Lytechinus pictus: one gene and its partner. The protein of the gene in region 2 purifies or fractionates together with the protein of the main gene of each other region. This does not show direct contact. Links are inferred from orthologs where the notes say so. Each region holds a gene or a part of one and is shown on either strand. Other genes may lie near its edges.

Evidence for each region.
Region 1: the proteins of clusterin-associated protein 1-like (region 2) and intraflagellar transport protein 27 homolog purify together in Homo sapiens (affinity purification with mass spectrometry; 3 studies listed by BioGRID and IntAct, with this or other methods). This does not show direct contact. The link is inferred for Lytechinus pictus from reciprocal best matches to the Homo sapiens genes CLUAP1 and IFT27.

The regions. Positions count from the first base shown.
Region 1 is NC_087254.1:31,016,760-31,034,033, forward strand, and holds the start of intraflagellar transport protein 27 homolog, read right to left. Parts: upstream 7,630-17,274; 5' UTR 7,436-7,629; coding exon 7,399-7,435; intron 6,579-7,398; coding exon 6,499-6,578; intron 5,554-6,498; coding exon 5,494-5,553; intron 4,359-5,493; coding exon 4,299-4,358; intron 3,324-4,298; coding exon 3,209-3,323; intron 2,728-3,208; coding exon 2,618-2,727; intron 1-2,617. UniProt on the Homo sapiens protein: Small GTPase-like component of the intraflagellar transport (IFT) complex B that promotes the exit of the BBSome complex from cilia via its interaction with ARL6. Not involved in entry of the BBSome complex into cilium. Prevents aggregation of GTP-free ARL6.
Region 2 is NC_087254.1:19,165,568-19,182,241, reverse strand, and holds the start of clusterin-associated protein 1-like, read left to right. Parts: upstream 1-10,170; 5' UTR 10,171-10,234; coding exon 10,235-10,256; intron 10,257-12,149; coding exon 12,150-12,261; intron 12,262-13,247; coding exon 13,248-13,332; intron 13,333-13,700; coding exon 13,701-13,880; intron 13,881-15,542; coding exon 15,543-15,638; intron 15,639-16,139; coding exon 16,140-16,223; intron 16,224-16,674. Other genes in the region: formin-like protein 3, read left to right, coding at 432-500, 1,310-1,390, 2,651-2,777, 3,182-3,282, 3,664-3,828, 4,215-4,700. UniProt on the Homo sapiens protein: Required for cilia biogenesis. Appears to function within the multiple intraflagellar transport complex B (IFT-B). Key regulator of hedgehog signaling.

The DNA of each region.
Region 1 (17,274 bases), about 12 Mb from region 2:
GATATAAAAATGATATAGGTGGATCCATCAAAGATATTAGAATTTAAGTTTTTGATTTGTGACGTCATATAGGCTACTGTACGAGCAGCTGCCCCATTATGTTGTGTGATATAAAATGCATAAATGGTTCATCATGGGTATTTTTTAATCTTTCTGGAGCGGGTGTGAAATCATTTGTTTGTTGATATACCGAAGCTTCAATAAAAACATTTTGATTTTTTTAGGAGGCTACATTTCATTTATTTTGTACTATAAGAAACATGGGGGAACTGCTTGCATCTGACGTCACAAATAGACCAAATGAAATTCCAATAGTTTTTTAAATATTTGATGGAATTTCCTCAAACCTTCAATATTTTTTCATTATTTATTGTTATTGTTTCAATAAACTTTTTGTCAGGTTGAACTTCCCTTTAATTCGTTGACCGCCAAACAGGTTAGAAGGAACTCCCCTCTTTTAAAATCTTTTGGTCTGATGCTGTCGGAGCTTGAACTCCCGATCTCCCGATCGAGAGGCGAACATGCTCCCATTGTCAGATTGTCGAACACACGATGGTTATCCAAAAATGCAAAATTTCAAAATAATAACTACGTTATAATTATGATACTTATTTTTTTAATGAATTTTTTTATGGCAGCCATCTTGGATTTCAAGATGGCTGCCATAAATTGGATGAACATTAATGAATTTGAGAGAAGTCTATGGAGATCACAGGGAAATCCCAGTTGTGGGCGATTCCATCAAACTTAAAACACGTGTAGAAAGCAACTCGGACGCAAAAAGAAAGCCTATTTTCTTCTCTTTCGACTGATGATACATATATTTTGATTGCTTGAAAACACTTGGTTATTTACCATCTAATCAAAAGACACATAACATAATTTCACCCAAGACCACAATAATATATGCATGTGCGTATGCCCGTTTTTATACAGTATTCAATGGGGCTTCAGCAATGTGCCCGTACCGCACGTTCCAGGCACAAATTTTGTGTTTCATTTTTAGCCATCGAACCCATGACGATATACATTGTTTAGCTCAAAATTTTACATTTTCTTGTCGAAAAATTATGAATTCCACGATATATAATTTGCAAGAGAAGTTCAGTTGTTGAAATCTATCATATGCGATATAGCTCCCATCGTTTTGCCTGTAAAACGGGAAATCTACGCAGTTTCAGACTCGTAGCAAGGATTGGCGATAGTACCATGACAAATCTGTGTGGTGGAATAGTGTATTCCATGGAGGGTGAAATCAAGCTCATACAACAACGGTAACCCTTCGCACCCATTGTTCACCTGACATGTATATCTACCATGCACCCCTATCGACGTGTCTTTATGTATTGGTGATACGCTTAAGTGCACTCGAACGTTTGCAGTGAAAGGGAGAAGAAATTTGAGGTCTTATTTTTCGATATGCATGGCGGCCATCTTGGATTTCAAAATGGCGGCCGACCCGATGGTCAAATCACTTGGGGCCGGCAATATTTAAAATCAGCACCCCGAATTAAGCCTATATGCCAAATTTCAATACCGCAGTTCACATAAAAATGATTGCAATAATACATCATGGCGGCCATCTTGGATTTCAAGATGGCGGCCATTTTGCCTCTGACCAAATGGTCGAATTGCTGGGGCTGGCAATATTTGAAATCAGTGCCTCAAAATCCTGTAACTGTGCCAAATTTTAGTGTCACATGTCACGTAAACAAGAAAATTACATTAATGATTTCTCTTGGCGGCCATTTTGGATTTCAAAATGGCGGCCGACCCGATGGTCAAATCACTTGGGACCGGCAATATTTGAAATCAGCACCCCGAATTAAGCCTATATGCCAAATTTCAATACCGCAGTTCATATAAAACTAGAGAAAATGATTGCAATAATATATCATGGCGGCCATCTTGGATTTCAAGATGGCGGCCATTTTGCCGCTGGACAAATGGTCAAATTGCTGGGGGCTGGCAATATTTGAAATCAGTGCCTCAAAATACCCATATATGCCAAATTTCAGTGTCACATGCCATGTAAAACTCAAGAAAATGACATTTAATGATTTTTCATGGCGGCCATCTTGGATTTCAAAATGGCGGCCGACCCAATGGTCAAATCGCTTGGGGCCGGCAATTCTTTTAATCAGCACCCCAAATTAAGCCTATGTGCCAAATTTCAGTACCGCAGTTCATATAAAACTCGAGAAAATGATTGCAATATTATATCATGGCGGCCATCTTGGATTTCAAGATGGCGGCCATTTTGCCGCCGGCCAAATGGTCAAATTGCTAGGGGCCGGCAATATTTGAAATCAGTGCCCCAAAATACCCATATATGCCAAATTTCAGTGTCACATGCCATGTAAAACTCAAGAAAATGACATTTAATGATTTTTCATGGCGGCCATTTTGGATTTCAAAATGGCGGCCGACCCGATGGTCAAATCGCTTGGGGCCGGCAATTTTTGAAATCAGCGCCCCAAAATATCCCTGTATGCCAAATTTCACACTTTCTGCCAGATCCGAGCATCTTGGCCATTTTTTGTCACATAACCGCTCCACTAATATGAAGGTTTAAACTATAGTTTTATATTTACACAGATCACACATTAAAACTTACAGCAGAACATTCAAAGTATTCCAGTCCTTTGCCTTTGGCAAATTCTTCAGCCTTGTTCCTCTCTACGACTCTCCGCCCTTCAAGGTCAATCTTGTTGGCTACAAATACACCTGGCCAAGTGAAAGAGCACATTGTAGATAAATGAGTAATCATATATCTTGGTAGGCGAGTTTGTTTCCAATCTCAGAGTCTCACATTAACAGATGGCATGTTTAGTAAGGAATATTGATGACCGACATACTTTAAAGTTATTCACTCTTCACTTAGCATCAAGAACCAAACAGCCTAATAGTTTCATAGCCAATCAAATCATCCACCAGCTGTTTGATCCTACATCCTACAATGGATACGCAACTACTTCATTGCCCCTGAGCATTGCACGTTGCCCCAACTATACAGTTCACTATGTATATATTAGCAATTTAATGTAGTTCGGATACTTGGATAGATGATTTTAAGGCACTAACAAAATATAACAGATTAAAGAATGATATCCTCTGATGTCAAGTACATTTGGTATTTGGTGCCTGTATTTGTATTCAGTGGAAACTCAGCAAACAACGAATTTGCAATGATGGAATCATATCTCACCTGGGATGTGCTGTCCAGCTTTAGCTTTGACTCGTTCCACCCAGCGGTTACATGCAGTGAAGCTGGTTTCATTTGTCACATCCATCACCACCATCATCACTGATGGATGCTCCCACTTCAGAAGAAGAGAGGAGAGGGAGGAGAGGGATGATTGGAGAGAGAGATGAGAAAGGGGGAAAGGAGAGAGAGACAAACGGGAGAGAGGGGAGAGCCAAAAGACAGAGAGGGGGGATAGGGGGTCAAGAAGGCCAAAGGGGGTAGGAGGTAGAGATGGGGGAAGAGGGGGGATAGGGGGTCAAGAAAGGCCATAGGGGGTATGGGGTAGAGAGAGAGGGCAGGGGTTAGAGATAAAGAAAGATAAGAAAATGGGAGATGTAGAAAAAAGGCAAAGGAATGGAGATGAAGAAAGAGATGGAGGGATGAGGAATGTACAGGATGGAAAAGGAGAGAGGACAGGAACATACAGTAAGAGGGGAAGGGGATATAAAGGCAAATTATATGATCCTGAAGATTAGACTAAATACATTTATATTGTATCTGAGAAGCATGCTGAATGTGTGACTTGGTAAAATATTATTTTTTTAAAAGAAAACAATAACTATCATTCCTTTTCAAAGTCTAACAGACAGGCAGGGTTAAAATGAATATCACACTTCACTTGAATCAACAGCGTTCATAAGTAAGCAATACTTATACATCACAATGCCACAAGAATAAATTGGAGTATCAAAAAAATCCATGAAGGTTCATGACATTAGGGATTGAAAATGTTAAAAGTAAGAAAGAAAGAGCAAGACACAACATAACGTCTTCTAAAGTGCGACTAATGTTTTTGAATTTCTAGAGATCTGAAAGCAATTTGCTTCTTCTTTTTAAGATTCACATAAGGGTACAGTATAGACCTATCCAATAGCCAATATGCATTTGGCCATAATCAAGGGTAGATTTGCTCCTGAATTTCTCTATCAAGAAATATAACTACATCTGCACGATCCAAGAGTTGAGAGCAAACAAGCTAAAAGAATGGGGCAGTATAGAATTTTGTGTTACAGAGTACATAAACTTTGTAATCTACATAAATTATACTTACTGCTTGCTGAGCATAATCAAAGAACATCTCTTTGCCTGCCGTATCATAGATGTACAATTCCTTCATGAAAATGAAAACAATATCAAAACTGACATCAGTATTTAATGGCAGTACCAAGGAGGTAAATTGGAAAGACAAGATTAATGTCATATTTCTCAATGAGCAAGAAAACAAGCAAATTGATTTTATTTCAAATATAGCTTTGCTAAATTAGTTATTCCCATGTGAACAGCCAAATTTTCTGATAACTGACACACTAATTGTTGCTCATCGAGTTCGATCTTCTGATTATTTTCTTCACATATTTCATCATTTTTTTCCTCAAAGGGGTGATTTTATTCTTCCCATGCACATCTATCCCTAAACAAACTTCTTCAATGAAAGATTCAAGTTAATAGATTTGTTTATATTACGCTGAATGATTAAGTAAACTATTTCCTCTTTTGTGACCTTCTAAATTTGTTTTTACCCAAAATTGTTATTTCCAGACAATATTATGAGAACATGAATCAACACTGGCCATCTTGTCTCTCTTCAATCATTACATGAATATTCAATTAACAATTTGAATCTCTATATTGTTCCATATTTAAGAAGCACATTTTATAACACCACCACCCCCCCCCCCCCATAAGGACAATTTGCAACAAAATCACAGCTGTTTGGATGTTTATTGTATTCGCGTGGTCGAAATGTATCTTGCATTTCCTTTCAAAAATATGTTATATCTCATTTACTTGTCATTAACATACTGGACATTCATATTAATGCCCTGCATTAACATTAATGAGTCATGACCTGGGCTTATCTAAATCTTTATCACGTTTTATAATTGGCAAATTTCTTGCACTAATTATTAGGATGTTGATTATCATAACATCAAATTATAATGTATGTAACAATGTTAAGGTTATAAGGAGCCAGTTTCACAAAACTGTTCATAAGTAATGACTTTAAGAATAACTGAAAACTTATTGCCAAATAAAGTTGTTCACTTGATGCTTCATCAAAGTTTTAAAAAATGCCTCCCAAATCACCAACATTTTTTGCAAATAACATACTTTACATTTCAGGAAAAGGTTAATTCATGTGATCGTATTTCGATGTTGGTTGATGTAATTACATTTTTTAAGAACATTTAGATAACTTTCAGAACATTTTTATGAAATTGCCCCAATTCTCTTTTGATACATACCACTGTGTCACTCGTGTCTGGAATGCTGATATTCTTGACACACAGTTCAACTCCGACAGTCTAAAATCATGATGAAAAACAAGCAATAGCATTAATAGGCAAACAAACTTAGAGAAGTGTGATATTGTCTATTGACTAGTTGCTTTAAGAGGGCTAAAATTGAATGATTCGTTTATGTATTTAAACTTTTAGTTCAATTTCAATTTCAATTTATTTGCTCATAAAAATCCATACAAAAACATACATATACAAAGTATCATATTCACAAAATAGAAAAAACAACAACAAATAGAAACTTTGGATTGAATATGAGAGGGACAGCAAGAGAGGGACAGCAAGAAAGGAACAAGCCTTGTGATTAGCTGACCCTATAACATAATAATTATACAAAGACTTCAATAACAAAGATAGAAAAAAATCACTAAACTACAACAAAGGGGGGGGGGTGCCTATAATACCTGAATGAAATTTATACAAACTCTATGAATTACTATTTAAAGTAAATTACCTTGATTTTGACTTAAAAACATTTAATGAAACTGATTGCTTGATGTCTACAGAAACAGAATTCCAGAGTTGTGGTCCTTGAAATAAAATTGAGTTTTTAAAAGATGAGAGTCTTGGCTTAGGTAGATGGAAATTCTTTGCATTTCTTGTGTTGTATCCATGGAAATCACTATTGAACTTAAAGAATGTTTTGATATAATCTGGCAAGAGGTTATTGTTACATAAATACATAAATATAAGAATTTGAAATGCATGAATATCATAAAATTTTAATACATTCAATTCAACAAATAGAGGATTCGTATGGGCAAGGTAAGGAGCATGAGACATAATTCTTATTAGAAAAGGCATCACAAGATATTCACTGTAAAATAAATAGTTCTTGTAGCAGTTGTCGCTAGAACATATGCCATCAACAGCTCTATATATTTGCCATTTGTCTTTTACAACATCAAAATTAATGAATAATTCTGAAAATTTTAAAATTAATGTACTAACCATTGAATAACCTTTTGGAAAATGGGCTCCATCACTGTGAAATACCTGGGTCAATGCACTCTTTCCAACAGCCGAGTCTCCTGCAAAGGCAAAACATTAATAATACAAGAAAGAATAAATAAATTTCTACTTTCTTCAATTTGTAGAAATTGATGCAAAGGGTAGAATGGGAAGGGCTAATCAAGATTTCAAAATGGAAGTGTGCATAGGGGCTGTTGATAAACCAATTCACTAATATAGACCATCCAAAATTACTCTTCGTTGTATAAAAGTTGAATTATCAACTGATCTAAAAAAATAGTTTTTCATGGCTGGGCTGAAAAAAAAAATCAAAATGGTGATAAAATATAGTCTTATACTAGATCTACTCTCATTCGTGGGCTGCACAGTTGTTGCTTGTCATTTCAAAGCGAAGCAATCGACCAACTTTCATGTCAATAGGGTGAGAAGTATCGTCATGATGGTGGCCTATTTTTTTTCAATTTACATTTTTATTCCTTCCCCAAATCACTTTTTGAATGAATCTTTCCCCAAATGTCTCTGACTCTGACTTAAGAACGGCCAGCGGACCAAAGGGTAACCCCTGCCCCCCCAAAAAACCTTACATGTATCTTTCACTGCCTCCCCTTTTCATTATCTTCCATTGTAATAAATCCTGGTATAAAGATAGAGCTAGACTCTAGTAGTCTAGAGCTAACGCGTAAACGTTCGAGTTCAATCGGCGCAATTCGCAACAACATTCACATGATCACCAGCACACACTGACACAGAAGTAAATATTCGGGACTGCAATTATGCATTTTGCTTGGACAAACGCGCCGATTAGCATCTCTTTAAAGAAACAACACAACTCAAATTATTTCATTGATCTGATATAATCAGCAACCGGTATTTACTTACCGACTACGAGACATTTCGCTCTTAAAGAAACTGGCATTCTGGAAAGAAATTATGAAAACGTATCCCTGACAACACGACGCTATTTCTTCTCGACGAGATCAAGAAAATATTTGGAGCTGCACTTGTTTTACAATTTAATCATCGTGTTGTGTGCGGTGTTAGGACAGTTTTGTTATGCCTGAGAACGGATACCAGTCTTTATATCCACCAGCGATCGAAAACGGCTATCCTTCATAATCAATTATTTATAAAATATCAATTTTTCAAAGAAGAAACTTTGCCTGCATTTCCCAGAACAAAGCACAAACAAAATAATGTACCCTACTGTACCGTATAGAGATCTAGTTTTCTGTGATTATTTTTATTTCTCTTATTTATTAAATTATCTCTCGCCCGGATCTCTCGATCCTGCAAATCTTTCTGCTTCCATAGGGATTATTTCCCTTTTATTCTAGGATCTCCTCTATCTGAAACAGGTTTCTCCCCAAATCTACATTCTCATTTAAATTCCCCCTTCCTCAACACTCTCGTTTAAAGTCTTACAATGCTACTTTTCCATGATGTGATTTATACCGAACAATTAATTTCTGAGACGCATCCCCCTTCTCTGTCGACGTCTCCACTGTTTTGCAACCTCCAACTTCTCTTGTGTATTATAATTGCTCCCTTGACCTTTGTACGACTTTTCCCCCCTTTTCTCATTTCATATATTACAATACAACCGTTTCTAAATGATCCCTCGGCATTTCACTAGACATAATTGCTCCCTTTTGTGACTCCGGTCGTTTTTAGAAACGCATTTACCCTGATCTCTTTCATATTGTCCACACTTTCATCATTCCTTTTCTCCATCTTCTTCCCTTTAAGATATTTTCTCTTTGTCAGAGCACTAATTTATTGATCCATCCCCTCATATGCTTGAGAACGACCAACTCCAACTATTTCCTTATTTGGTTGTTTTCTTTCATTTCATGTTTGGAAATCCATTAATCCATTACCTTTCAAAATTAAGAATGAGATCTATTTCAAAAATATATTTGTCTTCTCTCTTCACACATCTACAATGCTTGTAAATTCCCCAACCCGTATATAGTCTGCCCTCCTTCGGATCTCTTTGCCATTTTGTATATTTCTACTCATTTCATACTCTTCAGCTTATTATCTCCACCTTACCATCTTCATCTCTTTCTGTATATTTTCCCATTTCTATACCTTTATGATCTCTATTGGCATGATAAATCAGCCCCCTCCCTCTCATTCTCTAATATCTGTCTCTTGCTCCTTCTTTCTACCCCCCCCCCTACTCTTTCTCTCTTTGAGAACCAGACTGACCAGATTTTGAAAGTAACATGAGACATTCCATCATGGAGCAGTGCATGCAATTGTGCACAAAAAACTGTTCTACGTCCCAAATTGATGTGCATCATCATGAATGCATGCATTGATGTAACAATAATAGAGGTACTGAGAACACGGAAGTCGAGAATGACTTTGAATTTTCAATATCTGAAAATTATTTTTCATCTACATGTATTATGTTGTTGATACATGTAATAGATTTCTAAAAATTAAAAATAAATAGAATGTTAAAAATTTGTGAAATAAAGTTCCAGAGAGAATTCTGGGGATGATTCATATGGGGTGCAGGAGGATATCTGGTCATCCGGCTCACAACACAATTCAAATTGAGGCAAAGACACATGAAATGAAACACAGGGGTTGTGGAAACGATTCTATTATTGGTCATTCCAACAAGGTCTATTTTGAGCACACACCAAAAAAGAAAAAAAATATGCGTATTAGGTTTCATCTATACATACACTGTCTCGTATTGTTGACATATTGAAATTCACTCCTACTGTTACATCCAAATAGATTTTGCCAAATCTTTTTCACTTCCTTTAAAAAAACCTTTTCTCATGTCCTTTACCATCTGCCTTTTCTTTGACACTGTTAACACACACACACAAAATCCTACTGCAAATATACATAAGTTTCACATTGCTATCAACTTTTGCAGGGAAAAAGAGCCATTAGTCTACTTTGACAATTCCTGTTTTCTTACAACAAACTACATCTCAAATTTTCCAACTATGGAAGCACAATTTGGGTTGATAAAGAGAGAATAACGTTGGAAAGATGTGGCCAAGTACTCGATGATTTAAATATAGCTTATTTCTACAGCCTGAAATGTATCAGAAGGCGAAATGGGTAGCACATGGTTTGCATCCAACGTGCCAAGAATATTGGAATATTACAATCATCACCATCCTATACTGATAAAATCCTCCTTTACATTATTGTCATTTTAAGAAATATACTTTCCAAAACTGTATATCAGAAATCAGTATAATTACTAACTGTTCTTACAAACTACATCATAATGTGATATAATGTCAATTCCTACTCAACATCAAAATCATTATCACAATATCTGAGCTTACAAATCTTGTATATTTCCCAAAAAATTGCAGTAAATAGCATGCAGCAATGGGGTTTTCCCCTTTATTTTACCTTTTTTCAAGATCAATTAAGATGCTTAATTGGGACAGTATATATCATCACAGTGTCTTGATTAGAGAGTATTAATTCTTGAGTATTGTTAAGTATTTTTCTGGTGTAAAATGATGGGCAAACAAGTACCACAAAGTGTATTATTTAAAAAAAAACATGCAACTTTGGAAATAAACCTTTTCAAACATTCAATTAAATAGAAACTACCAATTGGTGAAATATTGTGTAGTATTCTGGCCAGTACTGACAAAGCTTATGCTATGGCATAAGTCTTTTTTTTCTTCTTTGAAAATCCATTGTTTCTTTAATTAAAGTATAATCTTGAAAGTAATACACCAAGCATAGGCTAAAAATGTACCAGTTTCTTTGAGGAAACAAACCGTAGCTTATACATGAAAAAAGAAATATGGGCAATGGTTTGCATTATGCAAATATAGCACTGATAACACTTATTCTAGTCAAATAATCTAAAATCATTACTGTTTAAATTGCAACATTGCTATTTTGTACTGATTACTGAAGACATAAGTGGGACATTAGGAGTACACTAAGCTTACAAACGTAACCTGTTTATTTCCAAGTATTCCAATATTATTAACAATTATTAAAGTATAAATATATATTTGATAATTATGTCAATTTAAAAGAATCTATGAAATATCAAAAGAGGTGGATTATTACATTTCAAAAACATGTTTTGATTGTCAGACACTAACAAAATGAATGGCATATATTGTAACATATAATCTAAGTAATAACGTAAAGAATTTAAAGAATACTCCTTATGCAGATTAAGGTAATATTAAGCAGTTTATCCTTTTGTTAAACATGTACTGCATCAAAAAAGGCATATATATGCTAGAAGGAAGTGCAAATATAATACTTGTTATTTCTATAAACCATTCTTGTTCCAATCAGGCTAGATTGTGATGTCTCAGATCTCTATGAGAATGAATGAGCATAATTGGGGAGCATTCATCACAAAATAAAAAGAGAATGAAGACAATTTTGAAAGGCTTGAGATGACATGGTCCATGGTTTTTAGTGACTATGTTCAGAGTATTGTCCTTTTTTTCAAATCAGGCACAAAGGGTATATGACAGTTTTAAATACATTACAGAAAACAAAAGAATCAGTACCACTCCATAATTAAGTACTTCAATCAAAGAATTATAGTCATTTAACATGAATTAGAAAACATACTGGCAGGGTTTATCTTAACTATCAAATAGTCTTTCATTCATAACGTCTCCCATCTGTTTCATCACATCCGATACACTCACATAAACATGTTAAGTCAAGAAGAGTATCAAACAGAAAGTTTTGAAGAAAAAAAATCAATGTGACTTTTACAGAAATGTGTGACGACATTTTAAAAACGATTGACAAATATCTTTAGGTTAAAGTTGCTTGTACCAGGCACATCAAGTTGATTTTTCACAGCAAGATTTGACAAGACTTAAATAAAGTGTTTCTCTTTAGATTCTTAAAATTTCCCATACAGTATATTTCTTTGATTTTGGTTATCACAAAGCTTTGTATAAAGTTGTTAAGTCAGCAATTGGTAAGTATTGGCAAGTTCAGTGCGATCCATTTCTATTTTTCGGTCTGCAGATACATTGCTTAAGTTGGTTCTTTTTTCAATCCTCGCTACTCCAAACATCAATACACAACAAAACCAGTGCCTATTACTACTACACAATTAAGCTATCAAATACAGCAGCATTAAAAAAATAATAATGATAAAGTATTACAATGAAAATCAGTTTTCCTCCTCGTATATGAATAAACATTTGCATTATCCCCCTCATGTTATTCCATTTGTTATAAACAGAATTATTCTCTAAAGTTGCATTTAATAGACACACAAAAAAAGGAAATTAAACATTAAAATTTCATATCATAAAAAACTTTACACTAATACAATCTTTCAGTTATTTCAAAATTTCATTGTCAAAGAAAAAACACAAAAATACAAATTCTTCCGTTAAATATAGATTCAATCTTTCTATTTTTTTGTTTTTGTTTTTTTCTTGTTGACATATTTGAGTGTTGGGATGGTTTAGAATTACTTCAATTTGGAAGCATAGTTTACTAAGCAGGCCTCTTTTTATTACAGTATTTTTTCATGTTGATTATCACAAATACAATAGTCATAAAGATATACGAGTGTGAAAGTAGTACATACAGAATATAAACCGTTCAAGATAAACTATCAAAATGGTTTCTTTACAAGTTCAGTGCATTGCACAGTAGCTACACAAAACTATTCCTAAACTGCATAGCATGTGCCTTCAAAACATAAAACACATTTGCACACCATTATTTTTTTTTATATTTTTTTCGTTTTGTTTTGTTTAGTTGAAACTTTTGGGTTTTTTTTTTTCAAATCAATCACAACAATTACAACACACAATGAATTTCAAAGACATATTTCATACTAGTATTGACACTAATTGCTTTTCATTAACAAGGCAGGTTCATCCATATTTTTTCTTTCTCGATATATTCTCGTAGCCACACAGAATTTAAAGTGCATAACTGAAGATCATATTGTACTTGTAAGACCATATGAATTCTATTAAAACAAAAAACAAGTCAAAGATACTAATGACAAGTTGAAAATAAAGGATAATAACTGAATAAAAGATAAAATAGATTAGTAGGTTTATATCATCTATAACTAATTTAAAAAAAAAATTTGTCTTCACATTGAGGTGAATGTTGGTATCTGATTATAACCTGAAAAATCAATGATACTTCTCTTAACATTTTTAAATATATTTCCCAATTTTGTGAATCTATATTTAGGTTTTAGGAAAAACTCTTGGGGTCTCATTCATTCCATTTTCCAAATATCATTTGGTAATGTGAATATATTATATTTTATATTTGATTCCCATCCCATTCAATTACACTAACAGTTGCAGTTGGTTAATGACCATTTTTACAAAGATTATTATCTTAATTACCAATATGTATCTCTATCTAAGTGTGCTTTATTTATCGATTTTAAAAAGCATAACAAATCTATTTGGTAAGAAACATGTCAAATTGCTTTATATACACAATATGACGAGCAGCCTGCCAAGAGTGAAAGATGGATATATATATAATATATATAGTACCTGAAACGACTGTAATACCTGCTAAATTGTGCTACATCAATCTAAGTCACTACACAAAACTATAAAGACTACAAAGGGCCTATAATAATAATACAAATAAATCAACTTCACACTGTACTCTCTCCTTTGGAGGGGTGATAACTTGAAACAGTCCCCCACCCGCTCTAAAACAACCAAAACAAAAATATGGTTAATTACAGTATACACACATATTCAAAAACAAACATGCACATTTCATTATAAGCATTACAGTAAAGTATCATGGTTTGCAAAATATTTGTTTTATAGGGAAAGACTTTGAAAAATCAATCAACTCTTTTTTTTTAGTTTTTTCGTTTTTTTCTTTTTTTTTTTGCATTTGATTTTCTGACATATTGTGTAGACTAGCACCGTCAGATTGAAGAACCCCTTTTAAATATTATTTTGGGGGTGGGCAAGTAATAACGGTACATTCATATCACTATACAAGAAAAAAAAATGTGAAACACTATTAGCTAATTCTTTGATTACTACTTCTTTTAAGTTCGTGAGTTATATCCCACATTGGGAATCTAAACTTCCAATGGATCCTTCTTTGTTGTGGAATGCATACAAACAAAATACAATAATTATTAAAAATAAAGAAGTTAATGTATCACTTTACATGTATGTTGTGTCACCACTTTGAACTTATAAGCATTAGAATTCTTCTCTTTTTTTTTGGCAATTTTATTGATATACATATCACAAAAACAGTGATCGCCAGAGGCATAGCAAAACAAGAAATATTTCCTTTCATTTCAATATTAGAGAGCTGCACATACAGGCGTGACCTTCACAAAAATGCCACAGGAGAAAAAAATACTAAAATGCACTTCATTTTAATTGTCTTTGACATATACAATACACATGCATTATCAATGAACGGATTATCTTTACTGCAACACTTTCAAAAAATATCATACAAGTGAAAAAATTGAGAGAAGCAAAATATAGTATATGACATCAAAAAATTAAATTTTTCAAAACGTTTCTTACGAACTACATATTGCCGGTTATAAGTAGGTCGTAAAAGGGATTTTATACACAATACATGCTCTTATTCAATTTTTGAAGAATGAAAAACAATTGTACAATATATGTATACTTGGTACAAGATGGGTAAATGGCTTGAAAACACACACAAGGTCTTTAAACAGCTACCACTAAGTTTGTACAAATACCCAAAAGAAAAAAAAAACACTTTCATCATAAAATTCTATACTTTAATGTTTGAAACCACCCTTGCTTTTAAAGGAGTGCTATTTGATATTCCAATAGTTTACAACCTGGCTTAGATACAAGTGAATAAAACTTTTATGCAATCATACGTGTCCGTAAAATTCACACACACTCAACATCTTAATAATGAAATAATACTTATACATTGGTTAACCCTTTCTCACATTTTTTTTTATTATCATTTTTTCATCATTTTTTTTTTATTTTTTTGAAAATTTTTTCATCACATTCTTTTCCAGCATGGAAGATAAGTTCTCAAATATTCAATCTTGGACATAACACAGACACACACCCGTAGTATGAAAACAAAGAGTATTTATGTCACTCTATATCCAGATAATTACCTTCATAAATTATCATGATTGCGTTTAGAACTGATCTGTACCATCAAGGGGCACATTCTGTGTAAGGTTGATCACATCACGCCTTCCACATTTTATTTTCATCATTTTCAAAAAATCTCAATTTACGACATTCAATTGTAATCAAACATTCATATAAAGTATATAATACAAGAACTTTTCCTTTTTTTTTTTTTTTTTTTTTTTTTTTTGCTTACCAGTACAAAATTAAAATCGCACAAGATTGAACAGCCATTTTCGTATAATATAAGTATATAATCTTACATAGACTGTATAAGACTAAGTGAATAAGGCATTTAACATATCAGGTAGATATTATTTCATTCATTATCATTGGCATCAAGAACAAAATTGCACCCGACATAAAAAACAAAAGTCGGTATTTACTCTTTTTTTGTCTTTTTTTGTCTTTTTTACATTTTTTTCTTTTTTTTTACATTTTCATTTGTACTTTACAAGTTACAAATTGCCTATTACACATCTTTTCTGCATAAGGGCACAGAGACTAGTACTACGGAATGCCTGTTGAATACAAGTTACATAATGTCATAATGTTTAAATGGCTCAAAAAATGTGAGTTTAGAAGACTGCCAAGTAAATTTCTCTTCATTTCATCACATAGGCACTAGTAGAGTATGAATTACATATACATAAACACAAGCAATGGAAGTGTACAGTTCGTTGTTTCTCGCACTAGATTTTTCATATATAGATATATATAACTTACTCTAAAAGTTGTCACCTTGTCTTAATAACCATTGTAATTCAGGGATAAAATGTAAACAACATCCACAAGAGTACCATTGCATTCAATTTCACCTCTGGCTATTTTTTTTTTCTTTAGTAACGAGTCAACACACTACATATATTATTTGCACAATTTTAGTTTTACAGAACAGCTACATTTTTTGGTGGTAATGAGAATAGGTGTCAATAGTGATTATCTCTTTCCGTGGATGAAATAAATGATTTCACAAGGCAAAATAACCCCCAGAAACAATGGAATGGACAGCACATAAAAATGAACCTTGGAAAACAGACATTAGCACTGATTAAAGTGAGTCCTGGATAAAATACAATGAAAGCATAACAAGTGATAGGGGAATAGGGGAAGAAGAGAAACAATATTCAACGACTCTGTTCATGACTTCAACAATACAAATGCGACCACAAAAAAAAAGAGTTAACAGTTGGAAGATAAAAAGGCCAACTTGGCAGCACATCTGGATATTGGCAGGAGGCATGTCTTACACACTGTGCTCATAGCGAAGACAAAAAATTGAAATAAAATATATTCAAATTAGAGGCATATTCAAACCCTATTTCACCCTCTAATAACCATAGATTTTACTCCCCCAGCTGTATTTTACCATTCGTTTTAAAGCAAAATGTTAAAAAAAACTAATAAAGTAGTTGATTTCTGTCAAAGTATATTTTAAATTATCTCAAATACCAAACCATCTTGGAAATTTACTTTTATAGCTGAAAACTTGTAGCTCATGAATTTAGAATTAAAAATACTGATTCCTAAGCGCATTGGTAATGATTCTAAATGTTTAAAACACTTGGCAGAGATGTGACAGAGTAAAAATTAACAAACCTACGAGTCAGACGGATAAGAAAGAGAGAAAGAAAAAAAATTACACATATATTACCCTGAGAAAACAACAGGATATTTTCAAATTATTCTCCTTTTCACTAAAAATAGTCTTAAAACAGATACCTACAGAACAAAAAGTGTATGTGAGCAGCCACCACAAAGCACTGTGATAGATTAGAGGAAAAAAAATAAAACACAAAAACATTTTTAAAACGGACACAAAATGATGGATTTCAAAGAATACATTCAAACTTCCTTCTTTTTTTGCATATTGACTCATGGCCATTTTGAGTTGCAATGTGACAGTAATGAGGAATGCGAGACCAAATATCACAAATTTCAAGTTCAATTTAGACGACAGTACTGCAGTGATAGCCAATGTTGTCTTCATTTCGAAATTGATTGATTTCACAAACAAAGAACAATTCAAAATAAAATGAAATCAATAAACAGGTCCAAACTAAGGGACACAAGTGAAATATGCATCAGCTTATATTTATTTTACTCTACAAAGTCCATAAAATGTAGTTTTAAATGCAAGAGCTATGAAAAAGAGCAATTTTCATTTCTATCTTTAATATGTTGCACTAACAAGGGAAATTTTAGCATAAAATGTCTCTGTTCACAGGCATAGTTGAAACAAATATATATATCTCTCAAAATATATAATGCATTATATTCTCAAGATGGTTTCCAAACATTTATCATGGAACAAAATGATGCTAATGTATGCAATAATATTAAACTATTTACAGTCAAAAAGGCAGAATAATTTCAGAGATGTCAGACAAATCATGTATATTGTCATTATATCTATTCAATTTTTTTTTGGTTTTTTAATTTTTTTTCTCCTTAATTCTATTTCATTACTTAATAAGTATATCCCATTATTCTCAAAATTGAGAAAAGTGGCGTTAATCACCCTTTGGTATAGGTACTGGCTAATCGACATGGTAATATTTTCTCTTAAAAATGCAGAATCATAAAAGAAAATATACACAAACCAAAAAAA
Region 2 (16,674 bases):
AACCAGTTTTGTCTGTCGTCAGTATTATCCACATTGTCTATAATTTTGTTTGGATAAACTTAAATATTTTCATTGAAAATTAAACATGTCATAATTTCTGGCTTTATTTGCTTTACGTTTGCTGAATATCAAAATATGATTTCTAGTTTCAACTAACCTCTTCTTCAAGATAATCTGCACCCTTTATTACTATATAGATTATTGAGTTATAGCCATACGTGATAGCGAGTTTATCACGATCCTTTTGCCATTTAGATCAATCATCATGGTAAGATACGTTTCATTATTTAAAACATAATTATGTCTCTATAAATTTTTTTGTAATAAAGATAAATTTATCAATTCAATTATCTAACAACGTTCTATATAGTTTCTGTTCAATATCAGAAACAAGAACAGTTTACCTAAAGTGATTCTGTTTGTTATTTCAGGAAATTGAAGCAATAGTGAAAGCCTGTGATTCAATCGTCACGAGCGGGAGACTCAAGAAATTACTCGAGGTAAGAATAATCAAAATACTTCCTTATTTTTCATGACTATTTTCTGACGTGGATTATTGAACAACTCACACAAACATAACAACAACAAAAGGATCGACTTAAAATCGTGGAACAAAGTTCACAATTTTTTGTAATTTTTTGTAATTTTTTTTTTGGGGGATAAATTCCTTGCAGGAGCTAATTAGTGTGGCTGATATAAATCTCTATTACTGAAGACATAGAGAAATACAAATGATCGGAAAATACATAAGGTGTAAAGGATGGAAATGAGAATGGACACTGGAGAGCATGGGCAGAAATCCCAGGGGGACGCTTCCCCCCTACCAAAAATATAAAATGTCCCACTACTATTTTTGGTGTTTTATGATGGAGAAAAATACATCATGACTAAATGATTTTTTTTTTGCTTGTCAAATTATTTTGGGTTAAAATTACCTCATATTTTGGGTGATAACCCTTTTTTTGCTTGTTAAAGTTTCCAGCTCCTGGTCCAACTACCTCTGGAGACAGATTCCGTCCATGCTGGAGAGAGAGGGGAGAAAGACACGGAGAGCGGATGGGTTAATGCTTGTGAGACGGGTAGGGGATGACATAAAGGAACGGGATAGTTTAAAATAATACTCGATAATGCGTCTTCAGATTGATGCCAGGGCAGATCATTTTTTATCTGATTTAAAAAAATTATTTTCGCCTTCATCCTGTTTTCAGAATTTTCATATTGATTGTCTGTGCATGGAAAATAACTGGCAAACTAAAATCTTCATTTATGATTATACTTCATTAATGATTATGTTGATTTTATCCCTCAGATTGTTCTTGCTTTTGGTAACTACATGAACAGCAGTAAAAGAGGACCAGCCATAGGATTCAAACTTGAATCTTTACAAAGGGTAAATATTATTTATACAGTAGATTTATAAAAATGAATTCGGCAGATGATGAATCAGCCTGCCTTACGAAATGTGAAGTCTTCTTGACAAAAGTATCATATAGAGAATAAAAACACAAAATTTCGTGTAACATTCGTCTGGAGAATTTTCAACGATGTAATTGTTCAAGCAATAAGATTTGTCCGATACTGTAGACTTTGAATACTCCTGCTATATATCACACTGCAGTAGACACTTTCGGCCAAAGGTTGTGCTATTCAGCCATCTTCGAGCCCACAAGAATTTGTAAAAGTGTGGTCGTCTTCGCAAGCGAAAGACAAACATCATCATTCAGACAGAAACAATCGTTATGAACTCTGCAATTGCTTTGAATACTGGCGAATAGTTTCGAACAATTATTATCTTCAGTTCCTTATCAATAATCGAATACTCAATGTAATCGGTGCGCAAAATACTTTTATTTTCACCGCCCCCAAATTTTGGAATTCACTCCATAAAGATGTTCAACAGGCCCCCTCTATCCACACCTTTAAGAGAAAACTAAAAATATTTATGTTACTGTCTTACCAAAGTAATTAATTAGTTTTATATTTTTAGTATTGTCTAAGCACGCTATTAAGTCACACTCTCTTTGATCTACGTTTGCACTCTCGTTCTTGCCCCCCTCTCTCTTTCTGACCCTTTCTCTCCACATAATCTGCGTGTGTGTGTGCCTCCCTCTCTATCTGTCTCCCCCCCCCACTTTATCTTTGCCCTCTCCCTCTCTCGCTCCCCTTTCAGTACTTTATTCCTTCTCTCTCCCCTCTATTCTTCGTCATGTCTTTGTTTTCTTTTTAGTTTTTTGTATCGTCCCGTATCTCTTTCATCTTTTTATCATTTCTCGCTATTACTCACCATCTTATTATTATTTCCAATATTCTATTTTAACTTATTGTATTTACACTTGCGAATAAATCCCATTTTTCAAATGTTTAATATACTATCTTAGGGGATCCACGCTCTACAAGCAATGCTTTTTAGTGGATCCCCTCATTTCCATATCAGATTCTGTTAAACCTATATTACAAATGTTTTGGAACTTGTAGTTGATTTGTAATCATTGTTATCATATTTCATTTGTATTTGTTTATATTTATAATGTATGTTTGATTTGTATTTGCTTATAATGTTGCTAATGGAAATGGAAAATAAAACTTGAACTTGAACTATATATTCGTCTAACCTTAACAAACCATGGATTCGTTTTCTGTGTTTGACCAGTTGACGTTCGTGAAATCATCGGATCGTAGTCATAACTTCCTTCATTACCTGGTTGAAGCTGTTAACCGATGTTACCCAGAAATCAAGAATTGGTACAACGACCTTCAATTCGACGATCTCAAGTCAGGTATTTCTTTCTTCACGATAAATACATTTTTCCTTGTACATTTCCTTGAAAATATGAATGTTCGTCGTAATATGTTGTGAGGAGAATGAAATTAAACACTTTGTTAACAATGATAATGCTCAATCGATATTTTCCGGTCAAGAGAATTGCACATGTTTCTTGCCTCTTTAGCCAATCACAATAAGGTTTCAATTTTAGTTACAATAATGGCAAAGTTACACTAGTCATGTTGTAAGTCTTTACAAAACGGGTTCCATGTGAAGGGGATAAATCTGAACATTATTTTGATTCCTTAGGTTTGGACTTCATTAAAAAAATCAATTTGGAATCACATAGAGATGCAAAGCATATTTCTTTGAAAAAAAGTCCTGATCAATGATTCCTATCTGTTTATCATTTAACAGGATCTCTTGAAGCACTGACTATGGATATTCAAGGATTACGTAAGGGCCTGGAACTTGCCAAGTTTGAACGAGAACGACAGATGGACAATCCTATTATTGGAATATCCTTTGTAACAACCGACTCTTATATATATTATATTTAGTTATTTAGTCTTAAAGTTATTCAATCACTTTGAAATGAATAAGTACTTCCCTGACATAGCACATGGCTCTGGATGTTTTGTGGATGTTATGTATTTGAATTGCTCTGCTTGATACCCATGGCCATTTCTTCCATTTAATATCTTAGATATTCTTTTAGCTTTATAAATTAGCATTATAAGGAAGTCAAACGCATGAATAGTTGCAATTCATCATCCCCTATCTTTCCTCTTGTAATCATCGTCATCATTAACAATCATTATCAAGTTTCTGCGTCCCCCTTGAGCCATCTTCGGTGAAGTCCTTGTCATGAAGCATTTATCCTTGACAGCTCTGTCCACCAGTTCTATGTGGGTGCTGCAGACACCATCCATGCACTCTCTGAAGGTTTCAAGAAGATGGAAGAGATCTACCACTACACTACCAAGATGTTTGGTGAGAATGGAGACCATGTCGAACCAATCAACTTCTTCAAGCTCTTTAAAGACTTCAGCGGCCAGTATCAGGTAAGATACCTATGTATTAATCCAGAATTTAAAGGAACGGATGCGTCGTTGTCTAGTGGTTCTGATCCTTTTCTTTACAACGGATGGAGATGGGTTTGAATCCAGACCATGTGTTTTCCTTCAGCAAGAAAAATACCAAATTGTGCTGCAATCGACCTAGGTGATGTGAATGGGAAGCACTATCTTTTAATAAACATTCATTGTCAATTAACTCTTAAATTCCTATTATCATCAGGAATCCGGAAGGGGGGGGGGATTCCATTTCGCTATATTGGTAATAGGCCAATATCCTTCTAAGCTTTTTACCCTGTCGTAATGTTTATTTGCTTGGCATTGCCGGTTTGCATTGGTCAAATATTATTGTCTTTCTCTTCTTTCTTTTTAAGGCTGCTGAGAGAGCAAACAGTAAAAATCCGATTGAGGTGGCTCCTAAACGCAAACCAGCAAAGAAAAAGGGATCATACAACCAGCAGTATGGATTACCAACACAAGAACTGCCTTCTGCCGGTATCACTGGTCGTCTAGGGCTCTTCCGCCGGTCAACCCAGAACAAAGGCTCTTATGAAGTCAAAAGTAAAGCAACACCATCGACAGCCACGATACCGGACGAATCGGTGACGAACTTGAGAAGAGATTCGCCGTCGTCCTCCGACTCGGGTATAGCGTCGATGGCGTCGTCGGGCGACAGTGGTTCGGCGCGGAGCATCCCGTACGTGTCGGTGGATGGTAACGATTCATCGAAGACTGGAGGGGTTGTCATGACAGCGAATGGACATGGTAATGCGCAGACGGCTGGAGGTGAGGGTGGTGGCGGGGACAAGGCTGCAGATGGGAATTCAAACTTCTGGGGAATGTTCAGCTCATTGAAGTGAAATCGTCTCCGGCAAAACTTGTGAAGACATTAACCTTGTGCCCTGGTCTAATGTTTTGAGAAGGTTCATTCTACATCATCTTCGCGGGAAGAGCTAATGTGTGCACTTTCTTCTGACGATACCAATCATTCAATAAGGAAGATTATGATGTAACGTTGTATTATGTGAGATTTAGTACATGTCGACAAGATCTATTTTCTATTTTAATATGATGGCCCTGCTCTTATGGACCTGACTATTTCTGACATTCAAGACGATGGTCACTGTTGAATATAAGTGTATTTCAAGGGAAGATTATGTATTATTATGGGTACTAGCTATGGTCTAACAGTTGGTCATGGGGATAATGTACGAATGTGTGAGTGGGTGGATATGTACTGTGGCTTTTCGTATGCATTTGCGCGCGCGCTTGTATAAGGGTGCATGTGTATGGAAAGAGGGTTAGAATAATGGAGAGAGAATATGTTTCATTAATAAATAAGTGATCCTTTAAGAATGTTTCCTTATGAATTATATGTCCAGTGATATCATTCTTTAAAAAGAATCTATACCAATAATTCAAAATCTGTGATATTGCTATCTCATAGTTATTAAAAAAAGTATTTTATTTTCCAGAAATAGTAATGGCATGTGACTTGTGATTGCTGGCTTATTTTATTCGAATGGATTGACAAAAATTAGTTAAAACCTTTATGATCAACTAATAATTTTGCATTCATTTGGGACTGCAGCAGGATTTTTTTTCAGTGAAAAAGCCCCCTCGTAGCCCTTTAATTTTGTATACCATTTTCTATTGAACAACTAAACTATATTATTTAAGATGAAATATTTGAAGTTGGAAATATAGCTAAAAAGGGTAATTCTTTTGTAGAAAGATTCTTTCTACGAAGACCGAAAAGGGAAAATGAAAGAAATTATTCCATTATCAGTATTCAGCATCACTGGTGTATCGATGGGGGCTAAGGGCACTTGCCATCACTCCCCAAAATGTCAAATTTCACCCCATGATCCCCTAAAATGAGGATAAAAATAAAACAAAGGGATATTCCAGTATCAGTACTCGGATCCATTGGCCAATGTTGGCGTATAGATGCAATACCCAAATAAAAAGTTCTCACTACCAAGAAAAAAAAGAGAAAAGGAAAAGGAAAGGGAAAGGAATGAAATACGATATCATTTTCTTTATGTTGTGTAAAAATGTATTCGATGTTGATGCTTGTTTCTCTTTTTTCATATTAAAATTTCGTTTGGATGGACTTGAAATTGAAATACCTTAATTTTCAACCTTATGTTCCGTTTGAATAAGAACGTAACATTTTGTATATAAGTCTTCCTTTTATCCAAAACAGTAAGATATTATATAAGATTATATATTCGCAAAAGCAATTCATCCGATATTATGTATGTGATCTATTTATAATGCACGCTGCTCCATGTACATAATGAAAAAAGGGGAATAGATTTATAGAATTATATTATTCTTCATGCTTTGCAGTATTTTCGAGATATTGTAAATATTACTATAAATAATGTTAAAAAGATAATCTAATGGTTATTGTATATAAGATGATGTATTATGATTTATATTGTGTAAAAACACGTGACAGTTCATGTATTCTTATCACTTCCCCTTGGGAAAAAGGGCATTGTATTCCGATTTTTGTTCTGAAATTCTAAATTAAGCCTCTTGGCGTTCGGTCTTCTAGAGGCAGATTTACAGGCCCCAATACAAATTTTTATGTTTGTTGTATGAAAGATTTATAAATCGAGTGATACTTGTAATGTACTAATCAGCACGCAAACACTCAATGTTATTTGGGAGCGAAATATAGGAAAGCCTACATTGATTGATCAGAAACAAAAGATGGATTATTTTAATCTTCAAAAGAATTTATTCGGTATCAGTCATATCACAATGACAATGGTACATCCACTCAATCAAGTCGGTATCAGTTATACCTCTAATGATACATCTATTCCCATCCGATTTATTTCAGAAAATGTGTAATTTTGTTGTGAAATTGCCGTAATCGGTCACTCTACACATATTTATTTCATTACCATGATTACTGTACTGGAGGACTGGTATACACTATTAATGACCAGATTCTTAATAAGAATGACCGGATTCATTAAAGGGGTACTCCTGGCTGAAATGATATGGTTTGAACATCAGACAAACAAAACACTGAAAATTTGTTCAAAATTGGACAAGGAATAACAAAGTTATGCCATTTTAAAGATTTGCATTATTCCAGTGAAATACAGTTCTAGGCATGTCTTCATGAATATTCAATGAGCAAACTGATGATGTCATATCCTCACTTGTTCTTTTGTATTTTGTTATATGAAATTATGTTTATTCATTTTTTTCCTTCAAGAACCAAAAATATTGTAATAACAACTGATTAAGTGCATTGGATATTCATTGCCGCAGCTTATTTTATTACAAGGGAGACATAATTCACACATGTATGAAAAAATGAAACAATTATGATTTCATGTAATAACATAAGAAAAGGGAAAATGGGGATGTGACATCATCAGCCCCATCTAATGAATATTCATGACGACGTGCATATAACTCTTTTCACAATATATTACTAAACTTTTGAATTCAATAACTTCGCTATTTGTTATCAGATTTTTATGAAATTTTCAGCATTTTGTTCTGTGAGTTTTACTCTATTTATTTAGATATAAATATTTTCAGCCCGGAGCATCCCTTTAAATCAAGTCATCTTAAGTAAAATTCAATCATTTTAATACAATCTTAGCAATCTCTATAATATTTGTAATCCATTTTTAAAATGATATTATTTAGTGTTTTGTTAGTAGAAAAAGAAGTTTTGTTTATAAAACTTTTTTGCATTTGTCAACAAGCCTTATCAATAGTTAAAAAGGCTTAAATAGAAATGTTTTCTTAAATTGTATCACTTTAAGAAGTTTAAGATGATGTAATTCAATTAGGACACAGTGAAAAAGGATTTTTTTTCTGATAGGTTGGTCTTTACAGGTCCCATGAAGTATCAACATCCGAGTTAAAACCCTTATTAAACGTGATTAAAGAGAGAGAAAAAAAAACAAGCAACTTTTTATAGGGTTGGACGTTCCTTTAACTCGTGATTCCAAGTTTAACAAAATTGAATATTTCACACGGCTTTGTTCTTTATTGCAAGAGAGAGAAAATTAATCAAATTTGAGTGGTTGATATTTTCATATCTTACCTCTCTAAAGTACAGATGGGGGCCTTTGGGGCCCACTGTTATTATCCCAGCAAGTTACATAGAGAAAGAGCAATCAAGCTAGGATAATTCTGTTCTAAATATTGTTATTCTAAAGGAGTTTTGATTTGGCAATGACAATAATGCCAAAATAAACAGTAATGTCAATACTGAAGCCTACATGATATGTGAGCTTTATTTTCACGAAGACTGAAGAGATATGACGAGGACTAATAATTAAGGCAATTAATACCAGATAGAGAGAGATAGAGGGGGGGGGGAAAGAAAGGGAGAGGGGGGAGTGGGGGGAGGTGTGAGGGGGGCCGAAACCGAAGCCAGAATTGGAAAGTATCCAGGATTTTCCAAGAGGGAGGCAAATTTTCCCTTTTAAAAATTGACAAGAACAAAAATAAGGTCATCACTTGTGTATGAACGACATTTCCCCATTAAAAATACTCGTTGTGACTCTCAAGGGGGGGGGGGCACACTTATTATCAACGGCATATTTTCATTGAAAATATTGACTATGAATCTTTAGGGGGGCACGGGCTGGTTGTGCCCCCATGGATCCGCCACTGCACATAATTCAAGATGAGAATGAATGAATGAATGAACGAACGAACGAGTGAATGAATGAGCGGATAAAATTAATGAACGAGGGCCGGTTGTGCCTCCCATGGATCCGCCACTGCACATAATTCAAGATGAGAATGAATGAATGAACGAACGAACGAACGAGTGAATGAATGAGCGGATAAAAATAATGAACGAGGGCCGGTTGTGCCTCCCATGGATCCGCCACTGCACATAATTCAAGATGTGAATGAATGAATGAATGGATGGATGGATGGATGAATGAATGAATGAATGAATGAATGAATGAATGAAACGAACGAACGAACGAACAAAAATGAACGAATGGTGAGTCGACTCCAAGGACAGGCTGTCGTGTGTTTAGGCCCTATAAGTCACCGAAAACAACTCTATTGATAAATTTCACAAGATCAATAAAGAACGAAAACAATTATTTGCAATTAGAATATACTGGATTTGAGTGAGAAAACGCATTTACAAATGAAAGATGACAGGTAGCTGGATTGTTAAAAGCAAAAAAGTAAATAGTTTAAATGAAGCTAACGAATCACGGAGAGATAAACGAATGGCAAGGGGGCAGAAGAAAAATTTTGAAGGATTTACAAAGTTTAATTAAAAAGTAGAATTAAGAATTGAGAGGACTTGAGGGAAGGGATGGGGTAGGAACGGGAAGAGAACAAAAAAAAACAAAAAATATATACTTTTCTAAAAATATCCCAAGCGTATACTCCATTTAATTGCATTTTCATCTCATTCTTACGACACTAAAACCAATGTTGCTCTGAAAATTTGGCAAGCGAATTCCAATACTGGTCCGATATTTCAGAAATTAAAGAATTTATTGTAAAACTCGTCTCATAGTTAATGAACGGAGACTTTTCTCTGTGAAATATGAATTTACTTGATTATTTTAATATTGATGCCGAATAAATATCAACTCAAGGCAAGGGCACGCGTTATTTTTAATCAGTAATAAAAGTTGAAGAGGTAGGCAATTTTTTTTATTTTTTTTATAGCTTACTGAAGAAAACAACTAAATAGTTCACCTTTCATCTTGGACATTTTGTGTCCTATATTGTTTTATTCAACAACTCAAACAAAAGCACCTTGTTGCGGAATTTACAGGCATATAAATAATATTTCAAGGTCAGAAATATACGATAGTACAAATGGAACTTGTAATAAAAAATAAAAAAATCTTTCGAAATCGGAAAGGGTGATTCTTGTCTTTATCCTGGTGAGTCATTTCGATGTCTTATGCCGTGTAGAGGTTGTGACAGTACATAACTATTCGCGTCAGATCTTAACTTGTAATTTTTTTTTTCAATCAAGTTAGTTATTACAGCAATGAGAATGAAAAGGAAAGAGGCAAGTAAAGAAAATGAAAATGCGATTTATGGACAAGATGAAGGGGTGATAAACCATATAGTGGACAACTTGGTGAGGGGGCAGTTTCTATACTCCCGAAAAGATGATTTAATGTTTTGTCAATGCCTTATTGCACGAAAATATTGCACTTTTGATATTAAATGTAAATAACAAACACGCATCGTATGTGATGATTAAAAACCTTGCAGATGTACAGGACAGCCCCAGAGCCACCTCAGTCTCTGATGAACTCAATAAACCTGCATTCAGCATTGGATGAGCGCCATCTACGGTAGCGTAGGGTAACTATAGCAGCATTCTTTCAGCGGTGATTCGAGATCGGTCAAAATGTCATACAGAGATCTGAGAAGTAAGCTAAATTTTCATGATATTGTGAAATTATTATATATTTTTTGATAAAATGTTGTGTAGTGATTTACATGAGATTGATTTTCATACAAGAAATCAACGATAAGACTTTCAGATTGAGATTAAGGGCAATGACATGTTGGGTATGTTGTGGAATGATGTTTACCGTAAATTGAGTTGCGTGTTACCCGTACCTACGGGGCTGGGTGTGTTCGGAGATTACGGATGTTTTTGTGTAGGCCTAGTTACTAGTACAATGTCAATGTAGGGCCTAGACAGCTGGCAGCCGTCTGTTTCGAGGAGTTTTTCAACATTTTTTTATTTTTTTGATTTCTCCTCGTACACAGACGGCTCGCTAGCGTGTCGCCACCATTACTACAATGCAAATTCCCCCCGACGGGGCTCATCGATTTTTGTCTTTATTTCATAAATATAATATATATATGAAAATAAATGGACAAATATGCGAATTAATTATATATTCCCTCTTGGCATTAATTGCCAAAAACGAGGGAAAAATAAAGTTAAAAGGAAAAAAAACAGCGACTTACCTCGGCTGTCGTGTAGTTCCTACTCCTAGTTCACTCGTTCATCCGAAGTCGATATAACACACAAACATATGCCGTTGGAAGAACTTCCGGGTCAACTGCGTATCAAAACCATTGGCCAATCAGATCATCTCTTTTACGTCGGGTTTATGAATACTAAAATTCTAGACGTTTTTTTCCATTTTCCTTTATCTCTTTCTCTTTCGTTTTCTCTCTTTTTTGTTTTACTTTTCTTTTTATTTTTTATTTCCCCTTTTTTCTTTTGTTTCTTTAACTGCTCCTTTCTTTTCCTCTTCTGTAATGTTGACGTAAAGGTCATGGGGCGGAGTCTGACTTTTGTCGGCCACTTTTTCATGAATTATTCATTACCAAGATGGCTGCCCACTAGTCCGAGTCGCAAGTGTCAACTTTCAGAGTTAATCCCCTGATTACCAGTTTTAAAGCGGGAATTTAGGGTAAGAAACTGTCGTTACTTATACATTTTCAGCTATAGGTGCATATGTATGAACTTTTGGTGGAAAATATCGCGGTATCGAGGAGAAAAACAAGAAATTAGCTGTGGCCATTGAGCCCCTGTACAGACGACGGTTTAACTTCGGTCTATGTATTTGGTGAGTGGAGCCAACGTAGTTCAGCGGAACAACCAACATAACAGAGACCGAAGCTTTTGGTCTATGTAGGGCCGGGCTACAGCCTACAGTACCTAGATCTATGTCGCATTGTGACATCCGCAGAGCTGCCAAGTAGTGGTTTTCAGTAATTATTACTGAAAAATGAGAAAGATTACTGGTGGTTTCATCTTACTCTTCTCAACTCTTTAATAGTTTATTCTTCCCCCTCCTGACCTTGTCACTTCTTTACTTAGTTAAGTTTAACTAATTCTTTCTCAAACTTTAAGAATTTCTTAATCTGTCTTCTCCCTTTCCCCTTCTCTTCCTCCTCCTCATTTGCCCCTTGTTTTTTTCAGTTGTTTCAGGTGAGATTTCACTTTTCTCATGCTCTGAGACTCTAATTGTATACCCAATTGCTGTGTGTTCGGACAGGTTGTGTGGCCGGACGATTGATTTCAAACAGCCATTTGAAAAAGTTAACAAGCAATATTTCATCAATTTTTAATGCAAAGTCTTAGCCTTACTTAGGCAATATTCAGAGAACAAAACTGAAAAGAGTTACCACTATTGAATTCATGTTTTTTTTGGTTCAATCCATACCATAGAAGTGTCCGGACACCAGCAGACCTCCATCCTAACAAAAAGCTCCTGACGACCTGACCCCTTCCCACATAAGGTCTCATATAAAAAATAAACTGATAATTGTCACATTCTCCCTGTTTTTTTTTTCTGTAGATTTTACTGAGATGATGAGGGCGTTGGGTTATCCTCGCCTCATATCCATGGAGAACTTCCGTACCCCAAACTTTGCTCTCGTAGCTGAGGTGCTCATATGGCTAGTCAAGAGGTAAGCCATTAAGATGATACACAGCATTTATGTTGCACCATATTTCTGTTAAAAACATTCATAACATGTTGGAATTATGTTCTGTCATTTGTTGCTATGTTTTTTCTTCACTTTATGTTCAGATTTTTTAAAAGCATTTGAAGAAAGATCTCTAGCAGTTACAATTAAATTGAATAGTTTAATTATTATTGTTGTAATTTTTCTGTTCCTTCTTTTTCTTGCATACAATTCACAATGAGGATTGTCATATAGTCAAAACATTTTTTTTATTTGGACTTGTACATTAACTTTGTTGTCAAAACTCGTTTAAAAATTATGTGTATGATGAAAGAATCTTGATGACTAACAGTCCATTACATGAGTATGAATTTGATAATCTTTTTTTTTCTCTCTTAGTGATACACATAAGGCATTTTGAAAGTAAAGAAAAATAATGAGAGTTTTAAGTTGTAATTCTATGCAGGTCCTGAAGCGATGCACTACCTGTTGCAAGTAATTTTCAAAGGCAAATTGTGACTGGTGTGGGACAAATGATTCATATTCTACATGTACATGTAAAATTTAAATTTCCTCAGAGCCATCAATCATTTGCAAAATACAGTGAAAGACTTTTTAGTGGTTTTGAAGTTCTATATTCTTGAATGTTTTATTGTTTTACAATAATAGGAATAGATCCTACACATTGAGGCACAGGAAATGCTGTTTCTTTGAATGAAAAGTCTAGTACAAACCTTTAGGACCCCTTCCAAATCAAATGACAAAATAAAAATATGTATGGAAAAAATGGGAGAGTTTTCCCTTTTTTCTGGGAATTTTTGTGCAATTTTCTTCTTGGATAATGATTTTCGGAAAATTTTACTCTGATTTAATTTCGGTATTAAATCTAAGCAAATATTTAAATTGTCATAGTTTTTATTGTCCAGTAACTAAGTGCCTAGCTTTTGGTCTCACAATCTGATATTGTTTTTTTTTTTAAATCTCTGTAGGTATGATCCTAATGCTGATATTCCTTCTGACACAGACTCAGAACAGGACAGAGTTATTTTCATCAAATCAGCTGCACAGTTTATGGTAAGGGATCATGTTTTACAGAAATAACAATTTGAGAGATCTTGTAATGGAGGAGAATGATAAATAATGCAATCATTTATCTTAAAAAGAAGGAATTACCCTTCATAAATGGTAGGCCTATTCATTTGCTAAATTTATAGGATACCCTTTCATGGTAGCATTTGAAAAATCATACCTGTTGAATAAGTGATTTTCTTTTGGCGGGTATTTGTTGATGTGCTTATAGATATATTGTTAATCTTATATATACTTTAATAAAAAAATCTTTTCCCTGAGTTTAAACAATTCAGGATAGTGAGAGCAGATCAAGAGGCAGAGGTGAGATTTAGCAATTGTAACCTTTCAACAAAACCTATTTATCTTTGAAGGCAACCAAGGCACATATCAAACTGAATACAAAGAAGTTATATCAGGCCGATGGTTATGCAGTCAAAGAGCTCCTGAAGGTCACGTCAGTGCTTTACAATGCAATGAGGACAAAGGTCGGAGGTCAAGATGGTGATGATGATGATGGGGCGTCAGCTATGTCATTTGACATATCATCAAAGGTAGGTCACAATGAAGGGGTTTTCAGTATTTAACATGTATTTGTGAAATCTTAATTATAATTGTAATTTTAAAAAGGATTATTGCATGGGTCACTGATTCAGAAGCAAGCTGATTACCTTATACTAAAATAGTAATGAACCATTGTTTTTTGTTTATATTTATTTAATTTACCAGAAGCATTTTACAATATAATGAAATGACAACAAATTTCATGGGAAACTAAATAATATACATATAACAATAAACATTGACAATAATCAATGCCTGGCGATTACCTGCAAATTATTATTTTTTTTGAAAGGATTTTCTCATTGGTTGTTGTAAGCTTACAAACCAAGTGGGAAATATGAACATGGCAGTAGTAAATAGTTCATATAAAGAAGGAAGAGGTATGCCAAAGGCATGCCAAATGCAAAACGAATGAATTTGAGTCTTTAAAGAAAAAGGCAAAATAAGACAATAGAAAAATATCTCATATATGTAAAAGAATACATTGACAAAAAAACACAAAAATGTACTATTTTAGAGAATGAGAGAGATATGTCTTCAAAGGATCCTTGAAAAATCTCATCTGTATCAACATGTTTAAGATAGCAAGGTACATGTAGCTTATTCCAGAACTCTGCGATAGCTTGTTAAAATGGTCTTGCACCATAAAGTTTGTGCACACTGAGTGAGAACAGAGATGGCATTTTGAATGAGAGTTTAGGTTCCTTGCAGAACTTGTTATTTTAACCCTAGTTCATATGGCCGGGGGGGGGGGGGGGGCCTCCCAGGCCCCCCTTGAGATCTCGAACGCGATCGCGCTGAAAATTGGCACGCGGGTTGTCTAGGACATAATCTACAAAATTGTATAGTAATTTATTTCATGCGAATTGCTATAAGGTGATTATGCTAATTTATGCGTAATTAGTATGCAAAATCATATTTTTTCCTCTAACTCCCTAAATAAAGCTCCAAATGTTCCAATTTTTGGTATAGAAACTCTTTGTGGTGTTCTTAGCAAGTGTACATGAACAAAATTGTGATATCAAATCATTTTCTTATGTATTATATTGTTTTTTGCAATTTCTTATGTATTTCTTTGTTTTGTTGACCTTTTGTTTTTCATTGTTTTTTCAATCAAATTTGTTGGGGACTCTTTTAGATCATAAAAAGCATGAAATTAATACATTGAGACCAGCAAAACTAAAAATAATCATACATTTATGATTTTTGGTTGAAAACACAATTTGCATTGACTTTGTACTCAAAATCACGTTTTTTAACAAGTTTTGGTCTGACATGCACTTACATAATGTTGCGTAATTTCGGAACCATGTACCCGGTGACGCAAAATTGGTCTCAAAAGTTGCCCAAGACTTGAAAGTAAAAAGTCAGCGAGCGGCGCGGTAACAAAAATTCGCGCGGCAAAAATATTGCGCGAATTTTTGAGGGGGGGGCTCCGAGGCCCCCCCCCCCCCCCCCCCCGGCCTAGATATGGTTAAAAGCCAGGCTTTCTTCCTGTTTTGATTTTACCAATAACCAATTTTGACATGGGATTGTATCAATTTTTTGCTATATCTGTAAAACACTCCAATATCAAAGCAAAGTCATTTGTAAACTTGTTTTCAAATGACTTGTTTTCATTTTGTATCTTCCTCATGTGTTTCTACTTCTAGATCCAAGATTTGAAAGCCTCCAGACAACTAGCATCAGTGATCACATCAAAAGGGGCTAGTTTATACGATCTTCTGGGCAAAGAAGTTGAACTTAGAGTAAGCATTTTCTCTTCTAAAGAATTACTTGTTTCGGTCAAGTCCATTAATAAAAAAAAATCAATAGAATATACTTTAATGCGTTTAATGTGCATATTGAAATTCTTGAAATATCTGTGTAATATTCTTCAGCACATGTCTTTGCCACTCAACCTCTTTGAAAGATACTTTCCAACATGCCTCATAGTTGTGTCTATAATGAAATTTAAGGACCGGCAGAGTAAGGTTGTTGAGTAGGATTATTGCTGAAAGACGTGGGTCGGACACTTGTCAATTTTTTTTCGAGCCTAAATACCCTAAGTTGCAGATATTGTGACATGTATTTGATGAAAGGCTTCATTTTACTTGAAAAGCAAGTAGTTGATATTTGATAGTTATGACTGTTTTACATTTGAGTTTATCTTTCTATTTTAGGTTGTAACTTGTATTTTCAATTTTCATAGATTTTTTTGTCTGTATAACTTAAATTTGAAACTCACAATTTTTGTGTTTTTCCCTCAGGAAATCCGTACAATGGCCATCAATAAACCTTTAGAGATCAATGAGATTGAGAAAGGTTTACGGAACAGCATCAAGGCTGTTGAGGTGAGAACACCTTTCAAATTTGAGAAAATAATTCATTTTTCTTTGCATAAGTATATATTTTCTTTATCATGTGATTTTAAGATTTTTTTGTGTATTGACTGAGTATTTCTTAAACTTGATGTGGTTTTTGTCACAGCTGTTGATAACCAATCCAAAACAATACATCTTATATTGGTGGCTCCATATTTTCAAACAAATTGATGTTAGGCTTTGCAGCTAAAAAAGGATTCCAAAGTATACCCTATGATTTGCTTCTGATCTCTATCCTTTAAATCACTTCTGTTTTATTTTTCTGAAGACTTATGATGGTTTGCAAGATACTCATGTTCAATTGCAAATCAAATGTAAGTCCCACAATCTAGAATGATTTAGCGTCAAATAATTAAATGCAAATAAAAATGAAATTCAACGTCTAATCAAAGGACTTGATTTTGGGACTAATGCTTGATTG